Linked DNA regions of Anolis sagrei. The protein of the gene in region 1 interacts with the protein of each later gene in a pairwise test. Links are inferred from orthologs where the notes say so. Each region holds a gene or a part of one and is shown in the gene's direction. Other genes may lie near its edges.

Evidence for each region.
Region 2: the proteins of SIAH1 (region 1) and TMEM43 interact in binary tests that used the Homo sapiens proteins (3 or more experiments, as listed by UniProt). The two-hybrid records come from large-scale screens. The link is inferred for Anolis sagrei from reciprocal best matches to the Homo sapiens genes SIAH1 and TMEM43.

Annotation. Positions count from the first base shown.
Region 1 is NC_090028.1:36,558,364-36,568,406, forward strand, and holds the start of SIAH1 (E3 ubiquitin-protein ligase SIAH1), read left to right. Parts: upstream 1-5,203; 5' UTR 5,204-5,696; coding exon 5,697-5,787; intron 5,788-5,819; exon of another isoform or gene 5,820-5,921; coding exon of another isoform or gene 5,922-5,955; intron 5,956-10,043. UniProt on the Homo sapiens protein: E3 ubiquitin-protein ligase that mediates ubiquitination and subsequent proteasomal degradation of target proteins.
Region 2 is NC_090022.1:52,195,273-52,205,643, reverse strand, and holds the start of TMEM43 (transmembrane protein 43), read left to right. Parts: upstream 1-6,073; 5' UTR 6,074-6,139; intron 6,140-10,371. Other genes in the region: CHCHD4 (mitochondrial intermembrane space import and assembly protein 40), read right to left, coding at 5,728-5,749. UniProt on the Homo sapiens protein: May have an important role in maintaining nuclear envelope structure by organizing protein complexes at the inner nuclear membrane. Required for retaining emerin at the inner nuclear membrane.

The DNA of each region.
Region 1 (10,043 bases):
TATAAGAGCCAACAGTTTGTAAAGAGGTGAGGGACCTTTTTAAAATGGGGGCACTTCAGTATTTTCAGTAAATTGGTAAAAGTTACAGCTTTAAATAAAAATCCTTGAATGCCTTTCCTTTGAAAATTAAGGAATTCTGTTAAATATTGGCTTTGCCCATCAGAAAGTGAATCTTCAAATATAAAGTGCAAATCGATACACTATCTACTTGCACTTTATATTAGGAACATGGGAAGTTGCCTTGCATTGAGACTAGCTCACAGCAGTTAACGCTTGCCAGCATCAATTTTCCAAGATTTTAGGCAAGATTTTTTCCTTAACCCTGTGCCTGGAATTGGACATGGAACTTAGTCATGCACTCTGCCATTGCATTCCAGCCATTCAATACAAGATAAGATGTATGCAAAGATTATTTGCTTATAATATTAAGAGTCAGAAAAGAACACAAGGAGCTGTTGGATTTGAGCCATCTTCTTGCTGAAGGCAGAAAAAAGCATATTTTCTTACCATAGCTAACTCAACCTGCTTCTAGTTTCTACACAATTGTGTGCATATCTGCCTTGACAGATTCAAGACAAGGTGTATAACGCTGGTTATGTATTGGGCTCCCTATTAGAGTAGCATGGTCACCTTTTCTGGACATAGTTTGTGGCGTACCTCCTGAAAACTTTGGATGCTGCTGTGCTATAGAGTGACAGCAATCTTTTGGAGTTTGTCATTGCTTTCGGTGGGCAAAATCCTGGAAGCACTACTGCTGCAAACCCATACTACTTGCATCAGGCCTATTTTGTATAAGCAAGGCTTGAAAACCTTTCCATTTCCTCAGCCCATATAGATGGAGAGGAAGATGATGCACCAGCACTGCAGTGGCAAATGAATTGCATAGGAATAAACCATTTTACCCTGTTCCTCAAGAGTGGGATTATGGTGGTCATTGTGCTTCGTTCTTCTTACCCTGTCAGACTGTTGTTTTTGGCAGTTGTCTTTCAGTCCCAAATTAATGCTTGTGTGAACTCTTAAATGTTCTGATGTACTTGAGTTTTGGAAGGCCTTCTCTGCTGTCTAAGGAGAGCTATATATGTCTCAAATGGATGAATCCTTTGAAGATTTATTCTGCAAACAATGTAGAATATTGTTGGAAGCTTTCATATATATTTAGTTGCTTAGATTTGGTCTTAGTCCAGATGACTGCTAAATGATGTGTGTCTGCAGTGAAATTCTGAATTATTTCCTTCTGGAAACAAACCCTCCAATAATGTTTGGGAAACTTCAGAGGTGACCCCCAACACAGGAAAGTGCTTATGATAGGAGGAAAATAGGATTGAAAGTTTTAATGTGTACTCAGACCATTGTATACTGCAAGTGGAAATCTTTTAAACTACACAGAGACAGAGGTCCAAATAAAAGCTACTTATTTAATATTGGCACTATTATTTATAGAATTTTAATGTTTATGGGTACCACATATGAAATTGAGGAAAAATTATTGTAATTTGGTGGTGTTCGTATCAGATTAAAGCATTGCAAGTATGTTGAATGGTATTATAACATTAGTGACTTTGTAACTAAGTTAGTTATTTACTTCATTGTGAGTTTCTATTCTCATCTTGCAGGTTACATATAGCCAACCTTTGAAATAACAGTTTGCTCCCCCCCCCCCTCATTTTTCCTGTGCACCCTTTCTCACTAGAACTGGCCAGTTGTCCCTCATGAAATCTTGCGGTTGACCATTTCACCCAGTTCCCACCCCATTGCCTGCTTTATGCCCATTTGGACTTTTTTCTCTCTTCAAAATGGGAAGTGGTTGTCATTGCGGTTTGAGAAATAATCCATATGGCACTAAAATAGTCTATATGAGCTAAAAGAGGTATTGAGAAATTGAATTAAATGTCTGGTTGTAACTTTTGCTGAAAGAAGTTTTTTAAAACACTTTTTTGGGGGGGTTGGTGGGTAAGGGAGGAGATACAAAAGTGGGGAGAGTCTGGTCTTCTATGGTCCTGGGATGATAAAGCCTCTGTCATGTCCTGATACTTCTAATAATGTGGATTGAAAACTGGAGTTTGAATTATTTGATTGAGGAATAGTTTTAGAAACAATTAATCATTTCTATTAAGTTATCTATGTTTGGATTGTTCAAAAATAACCAAACTTCTATGTATCATTGGAGTCAGCTGGGGCTTTGCAGGTGTTGGACTAGTGCCTGGATGCTGTCATGGGCTGGATGAAGGCCAGTAAACTGAAGCTGAATCCTGGTAGACGTAGGCTCTGTGAAATGGAAGTTATTCCATCCAGGAATTGAGTAACAGTTTGTTCTGGATGGGGTTGGACTCTCCATAAAGCAACAGATATCCAGCTTGGGAATGCTCCTAGTTTCCATCCGTGTCACTGAAGGCTAAAGTGGGCTTTGTAACCCAGAGTGCTTCATGCCAGCTTTGACTGGTGCCTATGACCTTTCCTGGATAACCTAACCACAGGTAATTCATGCACTGGGAACCTTCTAGGCTACTGCACTGTGTTCTGCATGGGGCTGCCATTGAAGGTTTGGAAACTGCAGTTAGTGCAAAGTACAGCAGCTTGACTGCTGAAGAAATATCATATACACAACATTTAATGCCAGTTTTAAAATAATTGCACTGGCTGCCAATACATTTCAGGTCTGAATACAAGGTGCTTATGGGGATACCGCAAGCCCTAAATAACTCTGACACTTGAAGGAATGCCTCTTCCTATGTTTACCTGTCTGAGAATTAAGATCTTCAGAAGAGGAGGGGTTTTCCCTGTCCCACCATGAGATGACTATGTCAGGACATGGGAGAAAGGCTTCTCAGCTGTTGCATCCCAGCTATGGAATGCTCATCTCCTGGAGGCCCAGCTGGCACCAATGCTCCTCCCATGAAAGCCTTTGAACCTCATTAATGCAACCTAAATATTATTATTTACAACTTTTTCAACTTGGTTTTTAAACATATTGTTGGATGTGATTTAAGTTTATGTACAGTCTGTTGCTGTTTTAGCCCGTTTAACCTGTTCTACTGCTGTTACAAATTTCCTTGCGATCACTTGACATAGGATGGGGTGTAAATATTTTAATAAATATATAAAATAAAGTGCAATGCTTTTTTTGTTATTAGAGTAGTGCTTTGGAAGAAAAATGAATAGCAAATACAGTCTAGAGTATATAATTTCAGGATGTTAGTGATATATTGTCGTTATCTATGTTTTCTTAGAGCTAAACATAGCTAAACACAGTCCAATTGCTACAGTTCTGGCAAGCAATTTTGTTTTCTCCAGTTTTTTTGTACTTCCTTTAGAAATACATTAATATAATAACTGTCATCACATCTGTAATGTAGAGCAGCAATGTAGTATGCATTGATACTACCTCTTCCATCTACTGATTATTTACATTTTACATTTATTTATTTACATTTTAAAAGATTAGGATTCCATGATTCAAAACATAGCACTGACCTGTAGTTGTCCCAACAGTTGGTTTGTGGCAACGTACCTAGCATATCTCTTTTCCATCTCATGTGGAACCAGGGTCATATTTAGGAAGTAAATGTATAAAAGAGAAGAAGAGAGAGGGGGCCAGGGGACATTCCATCTTGTCTCCAGTGCTATTCTAATAATATAAAATATAATAATATAATATAATATATATACATAAAATATTTATAATATTATAATGTAATGCAATATAATAATATATTATAATTATATATTTATATTACATGTAATATTACTAATAATATTACGATATAGTGATATGGTGCAATATAGCAATGTTTAATGCTGATATTGTACTATGCTAATAATATAATATATTGTATGTAATATATACCTTGTAAGCCGCTCTGAGTCCCCTTCAGGGTGAGAAGGGCGGCATATAAATGTCGTAAACAAACAAATAATAAATAAATAAAAGTACCAGATCCTGTATGATCTTGGAAACCAAGCATGTTCATCCCAGGTTAGTATTTCAGTGGGAGACCACCAATGGATATGAAGTTCTGTGAGCGATGTAGTTTGCATTAGCCACAGATTCATCCGTCCATGGTTTGAAAATATTGCAAATTTTGATTTTACACACAGTTTTACTATGCCATTGCATATAATGGGATTTAAGCATCCGTGAATCTTCATATCCATGGGATGTATGTGGGGATAGACTGGAAACAAATCAAGGACTAACTATATTCCAGTGAAAGGAACTCACAAAACCATCTCTGAGTATTCCTTGTTTAAGAAAACCCTATGAAGTTTTTAGGGTCTCTGTATGTCGACAGGTAACTTGAAGGCACAGGAGACTATCACTTTGTTTAGAAGCATTTTGAAGTGCCCGTGAAACAAAGATAAGAATAAAGAGCCATAATTTTGCTCCTTTTTTGTCGTTGTTGCCTTAACTGTGTATGTGTGCGCGTGTTTTTTTTACACATTATCCATATACATTCCTTAAATGCTTTAAACAGTGAAAAGTGTATCCATGAACTTCTAGAATTAGCAGTTGCTTCCTCCATGTGTCATCACTGTTGCTCTCTGCTGTGCCTAGTATTTTGTATATGGTAATCCCTCCCCCCATTTTTTGCAGAGACGACAACAACTTCCACCCCCGGATTACTATGTCCTCCACAGAGTTTGGGTTCGCTAAAGTTTCTTGAATTTTGCCAGCCCAGTTTGCTAAGGGAATCCTTTTCTGGCGAGATCACAGAGGAGAGTGCACTGCTAATGTTATCTCACTTTTGTTTCTTTTTTAAAAAATGATCCTTAGTTCAGAGAGCGGCCTTTTATGGGAAGGTCCAAAATTCAGAGGCTGTGCAGATGCTGTGCTTGCAAAGAGCTCCAGATTGAGTCACTGACCTGGCCAGGTAAAGTTGGAAAGGACCCCAGTAAACACCGTGGAGAATTGTTGCTAAGTTAGCATCGAAAGCCACATTGTACAGACATTGCCCTGACTCCTTAGCACAAGAATAGAGTGATGCCTTTGAGGTGAGCTGTGACTGGGGCTGGCCTTGCGTGGCAGAGAAAAAGCCCAACCCTTCTTTTCCCAGCGTCTCCTTTGCTGTGCTCAGCAGTCTCTGGCTCTGAGGAATGCTTGCCTTAGCTGGCTGCCAGCAGAGTCCGGCCGGTCATGTGAGACTGGTCCGCCCCATCACCCGCCTCCTTCCCTTCCCTCCCTGGGCTGAGGAGGGACGCCGCCTCTTCCTCCTCCTTTCCCTCCCATTTGTTAGGAGCTGAAGCAGAGCAAGATCAGGGCTCTGTCCACAGCCGGTGGCTTTACTCCTGGTGCTGCCGTCTTCACTTGTTTTGTCTTTGGCTGTACTCTTCATTCTTGGGCTAGAGCTTCATTATCGTCTGGTTGGATGCACTTGAAATCGTACAAGATGTGGTGTTGGAAATTCCAGGATCCTTATCAGGGAGCCTTGCTGATCTAGTGGATATACCTAATTGGAGCTTTGCCAGATCTACAGCTTCACCTCTTCTACTCCCACCTTGCTTTGGATTACTTGGAAAACTTTACTTCAACGCGGGGAGCTGACTTTCATTGCCCTGGTTTGTCCCAGGAGTGGCGAGCCTCTTGTGGCTGTGGCCCCCCTTCTGGGTGCTGTATTCCTGCCTTGGAGTTTCCAGGAGGGGCCTCTGTTGTGGATTGTTTTAGTTTCTATGGAGAAACGCAATGAGCTCTTTTACTCCTCATGACGGGGAAATCCGCCTTCAGTTTTTTATATGCGTGGAAAGGAGTCCTTGATACATGCCTGCCAGGAAATAAAGCCAGCAAAAGAAAAGGTAGCCATTGTTTGACCAGAATAGTTAGGTGCTGCATTTCAGTGTTAAAAGTTCGCTGTTGCCTGGGATATCACAAGCATGCACTCTTCATTGTTTGGCTCGATATCAGAAATGCCTCTGGGTAATTCTTCAGTATGAGAGCTGATCCTGCAGTTCTTAGTCCAGCTGGTAATTTCCTTTTTTGTAAAATCTAAGGAATTTAGCAAAATTAGGTTTGTGGCTTATACCTTTCCTTGTCTTTACATTCAATACATGTTTGAAAAGGGGCAGAAATAACTACAATCACTGATACACTTCATGGGAAAACAGACCAGTGTTGACATTGTCCACATGGCCTGTTTTACATTCTATCACTCTACAATAATGGCACCACCCTGGAATCTAGCGTGACCTGTAACACCGAAGAAATCTTATCAGGATCTGAATATAGTTTTCTTCCTGAAGTGCTGCCAAGTATTGAACTGACCTAACATGTTTGTCTTTAGTTACCATGATAAATAAAAATGGGGGGAGAGATAAGAGACTTGCCTTTCTTTGCTTTCATCTGAGTATCTTTTAATGCCAAGACACAAGAGATGCCATGTATTGTTTTCCCTTATGCTGACATCAAACATCCTGAACATATTTCTGCTCATTGGAATTTTGGAGCATGTAGTGGTAAAGAACAAAGTAGCTGGACTTCTCTCATATGATAATGGACTAAACTGGATTCGTGTAATCGTTATTGAGAGAAGTCTTGCTTTAATCAGAGCAGATGCATTTATAGGCTGCTGAAAGCTCTATCTGTATTTCAGAATTGGGCAGGACCTGACAGGCTCTGTGATGATGAGAAAGGATCCCACACTTAGCACACATTTTGTAGCTTGTGTTTTGGGAAGGCACATAAGGCATACTTAAGAGTAGTGGCTCAACAGGCTGTCCTGGTTCTCCTTGTTGTATGAGGATGAGTTTTCCATCCAGAGTCACAGGCCTTTTTGCATATATCCTCCTGATGTTGATCCTTTTCATTCCTAGAGACTTGTGTTGAGATTTCTGCCAGTGAAAATGACTGTGGTGGTTGACTTCAGCTGTTGCCAAGTAGTAAATTGCTCATTTTAACATTGCTTCTTCTTTGGGAGTTAATATAGCAGGTCATTAGAAACAGCTTGCAGATAACCACTCACTCCCACTATTTTGCATGTGTTCTGCAAAGGCAGCTTCACTCAGGTTGCTGATATATATATGTGTGTGTGTGTGTGTGTGTGTGTGAACCACAAGATAAAATCATATATATGTGTGTGTGTGTGTGTGTGTGAAAATCATATATATATGTGAACCACAAGATAAAATCTAAGCTTGGAATCAGGTTTGTCAAAGGTTGGGTCCAAGGTTGATTCCACAACAAAAGAAGAGTGTTAGTTACTCAAGAACAAAACATAAACTGTGCATGTTGATAGAAGAAAAGAAAATACTGTGGTTACCATAAACATATGACTGTCCCATTTAGTATCTGTGTTCCCATGGTGCTCTCAGGTTTAACTCTTCCATTTCAGTAGCATCTGCACACTGCAGTGGCCTTGTAATTTAATTACTCTTGGTTTTTTGTCCGGTTGCTCACTGCTTTATCTTGCAGAGATCTTATGATTACAGTACTTATCAACGCCTAATGGAAAAGGAGGTATGCAGATTTCCCACTAGGAAAATATACAATTTTTAGGGTATTTTCACAGTAATTTAAAAATGGAAGTGAACTTTATTTATTTCTAGTTCCATAATGGCATTTATTTTTAAAAATCAGTTTCATTTAATATTATATTATCTATGGCAAAACATAGATATTATGGTGATGGGGCTGATCAGTTGTTACTAGTAAAGTAATAATGTAAACACAACTACTGAAATGATTATTATTGTTGTAAACACAAGCAGAATGATACAAATGTCAAAAACAATCCCACAAGGTTAAACAGAAAAAATAGATAATGATATTCCACTTGCATTTTCTCTCAATTTGATATATCCTATTATCTTAACCTTACCAGCTCCACAATCAAGTCTCACTTGTATTCAGTAGTTTTTCTCCCCCTCCCCCACCCCACCCTCTGGTGTTATTTTAATTGATCAATCGTGAAGAAAGTATGATTCAGTTCTTTATATTATCCTTTTCTATTTACTTTAGCTATCAAAATTCCCCATTTGAGTCCCAATTCTTCTTGAAATGGCTTGTTGTGTATTTATTTAAAGAATGGTTGTGTTAGTTTTCTTATTGGTTTTTTTTTTTTAAAAAAATTGAACTTTCATATCATAACAGTTAGCTATCTAGGTTTAGGTATACCCAGCAAAAGTGAGAAAGGTGAATTTTTTATGTTGCATGTTGGATATCTGATCATTAGAAAACAAAGGAGACCCATGGCTTTCTTGATTGAATTACAGTGTAGTGTGTTCATTAGCATGCAAATAAAACAAATCTGAACACCCCATACCGGGAGAAAAGTAGGATTAAAATTAACTAAATAAATAAAAATATTTTAGATGCATATTCATATTGTAGCAGGCAGTGAATTCTTACTTTTGTTAAGTAGAGATCAGATTCTTTTTCTAAGATGACACCATCCACTCATGTTCTTCTAAATTTGTACTGTTTGAAAATATAATATGGTCTCCATATTCATGGAGGATACGTTCCAAAACACACACACAAACACACACAACGATGGATACCAGGAAACCCTGTTTTGACTACATAGGCAGTCTTCTCTATTAGCTGGGCATAAGCCCCCACAAAGTGAAAAGACACAAGTAAAAAAATGTCTGTTTTTGAACCTGAGAACACTTTTCAAGAAATATCAAGTTTTAGCAGCATGACATTGTTGTAAACATCCACTGCGGTCAGACTCTCTAGGAATCTCTTGTTCTTCTGGAGGTATCCTCCAGCATAACTATGATCAACCTTTGGCAAAAGATGATCATAGTTACCTTGAAGATTCTCAAAGATTTCTAGAAAGAACATTTTAATCAAATCTGTAAACAATCAGATCAGCAAAAGTCGATTTCACAAATATGGAGAGATAACTGTATTTGGGTTAGAAGCATACTATCAAATAGCACTGGAGGACCTAGAGAGGCTCACAAACAGTTCCAATATTGTCTGGAGATGAATAGTGAAACGGTGGATATTCAACCTGTGGAATAAGAAGGCCTTTTTCTGTATTCACTCAGACATTAAGTCCCACTTTCTCAAATACATTTTACTCTGAGTCAGCGATTATGATTACATTCTTGGATACATAAAGGAATCATAAGTCCACTTAATTTTGGGCATTTGATATTAAAATATTAATGACTTAATCCCATTCATTAAACACTTTAAACTGTGCAGTGCAAGTGTACAATAAGACTGCAGTATAAGCTTTGAGTCTACACCAGCTGTATTTTCTAAGGTACCTAATAGTGTTGCAACTACAAAATAGTGTAGCCAGATGGCACATTAACTATGTTATGAAAATATTTTGACTAATTTCAACAACCAAGTCCACATGGTTTCAAGGGTGAAAAGTACATTAGATTGATGTTTTTCTCTTACTGTTTTTTTTTAAAAAGTTGCAGTCGGCCCTCTGTGTCCATGGATTCTGCATCCACAGATGCAACCAACCATGGCTAAATCTGGTTTGGGAGTATAAACATTCTGAAAAGTAAGCTGCACTACTATAAAGCCATATCCTGCTATAGCCTTTTTGTCGGCTCTCTCAGGCAGTCTTTTAAGTTGTGCACCATTTTTATAAAAGGGACTTTGTTAGCAGTGTATATAATGGATCTTGAGTATCCACAGATTTTTGCATCCATGGAGTTCTTAGAACCAACCCCCATCATATACTGAAGGCCCACTGTATTTACTTTCTTGTTTAGAACCACCAACAACCTCTGATGTTGTAGTTCTTCCTCATGACAATATTGCTTGCCTTGATAAGTCACAAATGACTTGTTATAATTTTTCTCATGACAGTATTGTTTAACTTGATAAGTCACAAGGGTGATTGTGATTTTTGGTAAGGCAAATGACTTCGTAAAATAGCTAATTGCTGCCCAGAGTATACTGCATACACCTTTTTGAAATTGATCAAGCAGCCAATTTCTTTAGCAACACAAAATTAATTAAAGAAGCTCTGTGTGTGCGTGTAGATGCATAATTTTTAAAGCATTTTGCTAATTAGGCTGATTCCTTGATGTTGGAAAGCAACATTCCTCTCTCTGTGAGATCATTAGCAGTGGACCCTGTT
Region 2 (10,371 bases), on another chromosome or scaffold:
CCCTACTGTAAACGCAGTACATGAAAGGTCTTTTTCCTGCGCAATCATCCTTCAAAGACCTGATGAAACAAAAGAATCTTCACTTGTCTACAAAAAGATAGCAAGGAAGACACCCAGCAAAACTGAAATATTAATTATAATACTACATATAATATATAATGACAATACTGTTGTATTATTGTATATTTTATAAGTTGTATTGTAATGTTTTTAATCGTGAGCTGCTTTGAGTCTCCGTATGGAGAGAAAAAATAGGATATAAAATAAATAAATAAATAAATAACTCCTACATTTGAAGTCCAAAACACCAGGAGGGCCAAAGTTTGCTCATGCCTGATCTACACTGTAGAATTAATGCAGTTTAACTGCTACAAAATCCTGGGATTTGCAGTTTCCTATACTCCTCGGCAAAGGAGGCTCAAGACAACAAATCCCATGATTTATTGAGCCGCGGAAGTGGTACCGAACTGCATTCATTGTAGAAGCAGCCCAAGGCCTTGTCAAACTACAACTCCCTGGGATCCACAGTTAAAATGCTACTGAGCCACATTAATTTCCCAGTGCAGATGCACCCCCTAGTTTCATCTCCCATCCTTTCTCAAAGGCATCTCCCATCATTTTGGGGATGAAAGGAGTTGCAATCAATCACCTTTGGAAAGTTCAAGGAATCACTCTGCACATGCTCAGAGGCACCCAGCCATTCCAAGAATCTTTGCCCACAGAACTTCTCCTCTTGCAGGCCTCAGCCCCCAATCTCAGGCTCCTGCCTCTCACCTTTTCTCCTCCAAACAGGAGCCTCCTCTGCAGTAAATAAAGCTTTTGGTCACTCTTGCTGGCCCTGGAGAGTGGTGGGCTGGGTAATCCTTAGCCCCCCCCCCTCCAAGGAGCCATGTGACACAACCTTAAAGTTAGCATGGGGCTGGAAGCCTGCAGAGCCATAGCCAGGAATCCGGTGGATGCTGCAGGGAGAGAGAGAAAGAGAGAAAGAGAGAGAGGGAGGAGAGTCCGTCTCCCTTACTGCTGCTCCCCCCCCCCCCGCCTCTTTTGCTGCTGCTGCTTCCTCCAATATGTTGGAGCATGGAGAATCCAAAAAAGAAGGGCATTGCTGTAGAGTGAAGGCACAAAGTAAATGTAAAGTGTTGTTTACCTCTTTTTGTTTGTTTTTTCCCCTCAGCTCCTAATGTGCCCCCCCCCAATCCCTCCTTTCCTTCAGTTGCAAGTTTACTCCTTGGAAGAGGAGGAGGAGGGAGCCCGGCCTCCTTTGTACCTGCCAGTGCTGCTGCCCAGGGAAGCACTTCTTGGGGGGGGGGGGACTCACCCTTCTCCACACCCCATAGTTTGAGGACCCCTGATGTAAAGGATAGTGACAGGGTAGCAGGCCTGCAGGGATGAGGGTTTTTCCTCCAGCTCCTGAAGGAAGGGCCTCCATGCACACTCGCTGCTGGCCATGCACGTGCACTCCTCCCCTCCCCCTGCCTGAGGCTTACAGTTGATCGTCTTTCTAAGGGGGGGTAGGGGGAGGGAGGGGGAAGTGTTTTTTTTTGAGGGGGGGGAGGTTGAGTGGAGAACATACATTGGGTTGTTAGGTGTATTGTGTCCAAATTTGGTGCCAATTCCCCCAGTGGTTTTTGAGATATGATGGTATCACAAACGAACATTACATTTTTATTTATATAGATTTAAGTGATATTAAGAAAACTCATTACAGGAGTGGTTGTGCTGATCTGCTTCAGAAGAAAAAATGAAAGAGAAACTTGTAGCACCTTAAAGATCTATCACAAATACACTATAGACTAATCTTCCATAGTTTTAGAGCCTATAATCGCCCAAGGGCTGAGAAAAGCGGTATATAAATGAAATAAATAAATAAATAATCCAGGGATAGGAATCATGTTGCCTTCCAGATACTGCTGAACTGTAAGTCCCAGCAGCCTTAGCCAGCACAGTCAATTGTGAGGAATGCTGGAGTTTTAGTCCAGCATCGGGAAGTCGGCATGACTCTCACCCCTGTTATAATCCATGAAATATATGACACAAGCTGATTTCTTACTTTTCAAGGTACCAAAATTGCCAGGTAAAAATCAAAGCCACAACTTTTTGTATACCGCTTGCCAAAGCGTATCTCTAGGCAATCAATAAATATAATAATATCTTTAAAAGTAAATAAACAACTTTTATTTAGCCTTAAATCCACGTATTACTTTTATTTAAACTGCTTTACTAAATGCCTATGATTTTATTATTATCCTACAGCAATTACTTTGTGTTCATTTAGCTTTTCATTAGACTATGTCCTCAACTGTACCCTATTAAATCAAACGCTGTAATTTATGCTTCTGTTGGATGTTACCATGTGATCCTTACACAACTTGACAGCAGTTGCTAGTCAGTGTCATCATTCACTCCGTTCTATGTGCAAGGAAAGGGAAAATTGAAAGAAATGTAAAGAGAAAACTCAATGAGCCTTCACACTAAGAATGAGGAAAAGAACAACTTCTAAAATCAACACCAAGAACTAAATACGATCATAAAAATGAGAACATAAAATACATACAAGGCCTACTACTCACTCAGCAATAAATCTATGTCAAGGAGCAAGAATGTGTTAGATAATGCTGCCAGGTAGTGAAACGGCCTTCTGTTTAATCAACTTCATAAACATAATGGGGAAATAAAATATGCAAAATCCCAATGTTAAGCCATCATTAGTCCTCAGAATAAAATGATCAAGAGTGATGCTTGATTTAAAGGTATCAAATATATCCTATGTTTTGATTTCCACTTGTTTTCACCTACAGAATAACTTATGGTACAAAAAATGTCAAACTATCCCTTCCATGGGAACAAGGATTGGGAAAGTGAAGCTGCCTCACAGATCCAATTTTAGCAATCCAAAAAGCTATCTCAAAGCTTCCTGACCTGCCTTATCAGCAACTAGGCCAAAAGATTTCCCTTATGTCAGTGTCTGCTTTCCATACAGAAATATACCATAGGTTCAGACTGACAGGAACAGCCTTGGGAGCTGAATGCTGCCATAGAGTTGCTCGTTGCCACACATGTTCCAAGGTGATGTTAGTGTAGCCTAAGCAACCTTGATATACTGTATATACTCAAGTATATGCTGAGTTTTCAGCTCTTTTTTTAGGATGAAAAAGCCTTCCTCAGCCTATATTTGAGTCAAAGTTATTTATCATTTTACTCTGTAATTATTATTTTTATTACATTTATTATTTTACTCTATTTTTATTATTATTACATTTACATTATTTTACTCTATTATTATTTTTATTACATTTATTATTTTACTCTATTACTATTGGAAGAATATGTAAGCACATTTACATTGAAGGTTAGAATAATGATTTAATCAGGGTTGGGCAGTCTTATCTTAAATAACAGTTTTATGTAAATATTCAAAAACATTTAACCTAGTAATGCCTCAATTAATGTAATTGAGGACATTGGTATCTATTTTTATTTTGAAATTTACCAGTAGCTGCTGCATTTCTCACCCTTGGCTTAGACTCGAGTCAATACGTTTTCCAAGTTTTTTTGTGGTAAAATTAGGTGTCTCAGCTTATATTTGGGTCGGCTTATACTCAAGTATATATGGTATACATTTTGAGCCCTACCACCTCCAAAGTACCTTTCAAACAGAAGACTGTAATATGCACTGTAGCGTGTCTCCTGCCCTTGGAAAGAAAAGATGTAGATAGGCTTCCATGTTTCTTGGGAATGCAACCTTTTAGAATCAAAGTTGAAAAAGACCCAAGAGTCATTTAGCCCAATCCCTTTCTGCCATGCAGCAATGCATAATCAAAGTACTTCCAATAGGTGGTCATTCAGCTTGTTTAAAAACCTACAAAGGAGGAGCCTCAGCCATGCTCCAGGGAAGCGTATTTCACTGGCAAATCCGTCTTACTGTCAGGAAGTTCTTCCTAATTTTAGTTAGAATCTCTTTTCCTGTAATTTGAATCCATTGCTCTGTGTTTTCTGAGCAGTAGAAAACAAGCTTTTAATACTCTACCTATCCAGAAATATTGAAGAGTAAGTTAGGAGGAAAATTTCAAACCCATACCCTTTCTCAAGAATATCTCAATATGGCAGAGGTTCAGCCACATGACTCCCAATGAATGACCTTGAATCTCACCTGGTTGACCTCACAGGGTTCTCTCCCAAGCAAGAACAAGGAAAAAACCTAGATAAAACCTCAACAAAGATGCAAAGTAAGTGCTATATCTATTCCTTTCACGTTGAATTTTGTCTTTTGTGAAAAATTAACTTAAACATGTGAAGTTCATACAAGATGGCTATCCCTTAGAACAGGCATGGGCAAACTTCATCCAGCAAGGTGTTTTGTACTTCAACTCCCATAATTCCTAATAGCCTACCAGCTGTTAGGAATTGTGGGAGCTGAAGTCCAAAACACCTGGAGGACCCAAGTTTGCCCATGCTTGTCTTAGAAAGACTGTTTTAGCTATGTGTTCCTATACAGCAGAGGATTGGACTAGATGGGCCTTCCCACTTCTAAGTCGTTGGTCCACAAACTGCTTATGATTACTAGCCTTTTGATACCAGAGTTACTCTTTACACAACATCTAGTCTATTGTCCTTCTTAACTGAGAACGAATCTACAGTGTAGAACAGGGGTCCTCAAACTAAGGCCCGAGGGCCGGATGCAGCCCTCCAAGGTCATTTACCCGGTCCTCGCTCAGGGTCAACCAAAGTCTGAAATGACTTGAAAGCATACAACAACAATAATCCTATCTCATCAGCCAAAAGCAGGCCCACACTTCCCATTGAAATACTAATAAGTTTATATTTGTTAAAATTGTTCTTCATTTTAATTATTGTATTGTTTTTAAGTGTTTTTTGCACTACAAATAAGATATGTGCTGTGTGCATAGAAATTCATTATCCTTTTTTCAAATTATAATCTGGCCCTCCAACAGTTTGAGAGACTATGACCTGGCCCTCTGTTTAAAAAGTTTGAGGACCCCTGCTGTAGAATTAATGCAGTTTTCAAAATCCAATTATCACAGGATGAAATCTTTTGAACAGCGGCACAGACAGCAAAACAACACCACAGGGGTGTTCACCCTTCCCTATATTATCTAAACCTGGTGTGTGTGTGTATCTATCTATCTGGAACTATACTGAAAAAATGATCTGACTTATTTTATTTATATCTTGCTTTATCTCTCAAAGCAGACACTCAAATCAGCTCCCAATCAAAAACACTACAAACTAAAATATAAAATAATAATAGAGTATATCATTATATATTGTTATATATTATCAGTAGTATCAGATATAATATCTTAGCCTTATTATATTACAATGTTATTATATATTCTACTGTATTATTACTATATTGTATTACATTATTATAATAAGAACAAATTTACATAACCTATCTTGCTCGTAATTTGGGGACTTCCTGTAATCTAGTTTAAAATCAGATAATCTGTTTTCAGAAACTGGATTGTAGGTCCAGTGCAGGTGAGACCTGGGTCACCTTGGTGCATCTGCACTGTAGAAATAATGCACTTTGACCCCATTTTAACCTCTGGATTTGCGAAGAATCCTTTTCCTTTGACAGAGAAGGCTGAAGACCTTGTAAAGCTACAACTCCCAGGAGCCCTTCGCCTTGGGTCCTTCGCTTGGGGCCCGAGGCCTGCTCTGCCTCCTTCCTCCCCTCCCCTCCTGCCAGAGATCCCCGGGTACCTTCTTGCCTGCAGTAGGACATGGCCCTCAGGAAAGCCCGGCCAAAGAAGGGCTCTCTCTTTCTCTCTCTCTCTCTCCGCCTCGAAAGCCTCCTTGAAGAAGAAGAGGGGAAAAACGGTGCGGGAGGGAGGCGGCAACCACGACACTAAACCACGCCGAGAAGCCGTTACTCCCTTACGGCCTTGCGCCTCCCGGCATGCTTCGCGACCTTCACGCAATGACCCTCCCCGCCATGCTGTGCGTCAAACGACGTGCGTCCTGTTTTGGAAGACTACAACTCCCGGCATGCTTCGAAACCGCGCGCATGTGTTCTTGAAAAGGGGCGGGGCCTTGTGCAGGGCGGTGGGCGTGGCTTTGCTTGGCGACTAGTTGGAGTGTGTTCTCTCGGTGTTTAAAGCAAGACTGGAGAAAAGTGAGTATGGATTCCTTCTTATTCCTTCTCTACTTAAATAGGGTTTGTTTTGAGTGGGGAAAGTACTAAAAGTTTTGTGAAATTAAAGTTTCACTTGCATTTCACACACCTGGAATACTGTGTCCAATTCTGGGCACCTCAATTCAAGAGAGATATTGACAAGCTGGAATGTGTCCAGAGGAGGGCGACTAAAATGATCAAGGGTCTGGAGAACAAGCCCTATGAGGAGCGGCTTAAGGAGCTGGGCATGTTTAGCCTGAAGAAGAGAAGGATGAGAGGAGACATGATAGCCATGTATAAATATGTGAGAGGAAGCCACAGGGAGGAGGGAGCAAGCTTGTTTTCTGCCTCCTTGGAGACTAGGACGTGGAACAATGGCTTCAAACTACAAGAGAGGAGATTCCATCTGGACATGAGGAAGAACTTCCTGACTGTGAGAGCCGTTCACCAGTGGAACTCTCTGCCCCGGAGTGTGGTGGAGGCTCCTTCTTTGGAAGCTTTTAAACAGAGGCTGGATGGCCATCTGTCAGGGGTGCTTTGAATGCAATATTCCTGCTTGTTGGCAGGGGGTTGGACTGGATGGCCCATGAGGTCTGTTCCAATTCTTTGATTCTATGATTTTATGAATTTAGCAGTGCATCTAGACCAGGCATGGGCAAACTTTGGCCTTCCAAGTGTTTTGGACTCCAACTCCCACAATTCCTAATAGCCTGCCCTAGGTCCAAAGTCTGTAGATTAGCGTTTCTCCACCTGGGGGTCACGAGGGGGTGTCAGAGGGGTCACAAAAGACCATCAAAAAACTTTCTGTTGGTCATGGGGGCTTTGTGTGGGAAGTTTGGCCCAATTCTATCATTGGTAGGGTTCAGAATGCTCTTTGATTGTAGGTGAACTATAAATCCCAGCAACTACATCTGCCAAATGTCTATCTTCCCCAAACTCCACCAATGTTCACATTTGGGCATATTGAGTATTTGTGTCAAGTTTGGTTCAGATCCATTATTGTTTGAGTCCTCAGTGCTCTCTGCATGTAAGTGAACTACAACTCCAAAACTCAAGGTCAATGCCCACCAAACCCTTCCAGTATTTTCTGTTTGTCATGGGAATTCTGTGTGCTGAGTTTGGTTCAATTCCATCCATGGTGGAGTTCAGAATGCTCTTTGATTGTAGGTGAACTATAAATCCCAGCAACTACAACTCCCAAATGTCAAGGTCTATTTTCCCCAAACCCCACCATTTTTCACATTTTTTATTAAGTATCTGCACCAAGTTGAGTCTAGATCCTTCATTGTTTGAGTCCTTAGTGCTCTGAATGTAGGTGAACTACAACTCCAAAACTCAGGGTCACTGCCCACCAACCCATCCAGTATTTTCTATTGGTCGTGTGTGCCAAGTTTGGTTCAATTCCATCATTGGGAGAGTTCAGAATGCTCTTTGATTGTAGGTGAACTATAAATCCCATCAACTACAACTCCCAAATGACAAAATCAAAATGACAAAAGAAATGCTGGACCACTCTCACAACCACCATGTCAGACTACACGGAGAAGCCATTGAAATACACAAGCATGTGGACAATTTCAACAGAAAGGAGGGAAAAAAGGGTTTATATATCTGTGGAATGACCAGGGTGAGACAAAGGACTCTTGTCTGCTAGAGCCAGGTGTGAATGTTTAAACTGATCACCTTGATTAGCATTTGATTGCCTGGCAGTGCCTAGAGCAAACTTTTGTTGAGAGGTGATTAGATGTCCTTGTTTGTTTCCTCTCTGTTGTTGTGCTGTTGTAATTTTAGAGTTTTTTAATACTGGTAGCCAGATTGTGTTCATTTTCATGGTTCCTAGTTCCAACAGACCTCACTACTTCTGAGGATGCTTGCCATAGATGCAGGCGAAATGTCAGGAGAGAATGCCTCTAGGCCATGGCCATATAGCCCGAAAAAACCTACAACAACCCAAAATCAATCCCCTTCCCCCCCCCCCGCCAAACCCCCCCCCCCCCAAAAAAAACCTCACCAGCATTCAAATTTGAGTGTATTGGCTATGTGTGCTAGATTTGGTCCAGTGAATGAAAATACATCCTGTATATCAGATATTTATATTACGATTCATAACAGTAGCAAAATTACAATTATGTAGTAGCAACAAAAATAATTTTGTGGTTGGAGGTATTAGGAAGGTTGAGAAACACTGCTGTCGATAGAATTAATGCAGTTTGATCCAACTTTAAGTGCCATAGCTCAGTGCAATGGAATCATGGGAAAGTAAAAGTAATAGGGAGTTTTCCTCTATTCAAGTAAAAGACAAAAATGGAAGATTTCTGATACATCAAACTACTAAAAGTGACAGAACGTTCTTATCAGAGCTGCCTTCCATTCATTCTAACAACTCAAATGGAGCATTATTGATTGATGGGTGCCAGAACTGAGAGAGTGCCATTTATGGACTGGATGTACACTGTAGCGAGGTAAAGTGTGCCTTAACACTTGCAAGCGAAGAAAAGCAGAAAGTGCTTGTTGAGCCCTGCAAGTGATCTCAGCCTGAAACAATTCACAGACGCCCTTTCTTAAGAGGACAGCTGTGCTGGCGAGAAGCAACTTAAAAGAAGATAGGAGCAACACTGTACATACCGGTTTGCAGGACAGTAGGGCACCTGTACTGTAGAATTAATTCAGTTTGGCACCACTTTGATTGCCATGGCTCAGGGTGATGGAATCATGAGAATAGTAGTTGGGGTATATACCAGCACTCTTTGGGAGGGTGAAAGACCTTGTAAAACTACAACTCCCATGCTTCCCTAGCATTGAGCCATGGGATCAAACTGCACTCATCATCCAGTGTAGAAAGTACACTATACACAGTGTAGATGTACTTTCCTGGAAATAATTTATTTATTGCATCAGAAACGAATTGAGAATACAGTTATAATGTATAAAAAAACCACAAAGGTAAAACTTGGCATTATACTAAATGTCCTTTGACCAGAAACTGGCAACTTGGAGTTCCTCTGTTGTTGCTGTAAGAAGGTCCTCCACTATGCTTGTGGTGGAGCTCAGACTGCATTGTAGTAAGTGGTCTGTGGTTTGCTTTGCTCCACATATGCATGTCATGGATTCCACTTTGTAGCCTCATTTCTTAAGATTGGCGCTGCATCTTGTGCCACCAAAGTGCAGCCTGTTCAGTGCCTTCCAGGCCACCCACTCTTCTGTGTCCCAAGGAAGGAGTTTCTCATCCAGGATCAGCCACTGATTGAGGCTCTGGGTTTTAGCCTGCCACTTTTGGACTCTCGCTTGCTGAGGTGTTCCTGCGAGTATCTCTGTAGATCTTAGTAAGCTTTTTACTAAGTCGTTGGCATGCTGGCTGATATCTGAACAGGGGATGGGCTGGAGATGTCAATGCCTTGGTCCTCTAATTGCTGGCTCTACTTCCTGGTGGATATCAGGTGGTGCAGTACTGGCTAAACAATATAATTTCTCCAGTGGTGTAGGGTGTGAATGTCCTGTGATAATGCGGCATGTCTCATTAAGAGCCACATTCACTGTTTTAACGTGGTGAGATGTGTTCCACACTGGGCATGCATACTCAGCAGCAGAGTAGCAAAGCGCAAAGACAGATGTCTTCACTGTGATCTCCAGGTAGCCCCAGTCAGCTTTCGTATGATGTTATTTCTAGCACCCACGCTTTGCTTGATAGTCAAGCAGTTTTTTCCTGGAATGCATTTTCATTAGAGAATGAATGCAGCTTGGTACCAGTTTAAACTGCCATGGCTAAAGGCTGTGGGACCATGAGAGTTGTGGTTTCACAAAGTCTTGGGCCTTCTCTGCCAAAGAATACTCATGCCTCTCCAAACTACAACTACCACTGTTCCATGGCAGTTCAAGTGGGGTCAAACTGCATTCATTTTACGGTTTAGACCAAACATGGGAAAACTTCGGCCCTTCAGGTGTTTTGGACTCCAACTCCCACGATTCCTAACATAGAATCATAGAGTTGGAAGAGACCTTGTGGGCCATCCAGTCCAAACCCCTCCAAGGCTGTTGGAAGTTTGCCCATGTCTGGTGTAGATACACCCAAGGCCAAAACTCTTGTAGATTTCTTGTGGTGGGGGCTTAATTTGTAGTGTACAGCTCCAGACCCTTTAAAATATTATGCAAATATAATTTTGAGGGTTGGACATTTTTATAGATGTCCAAGAATCCTTAAATCCTGGAGATGTATGAAATGGATTGTATCAAAA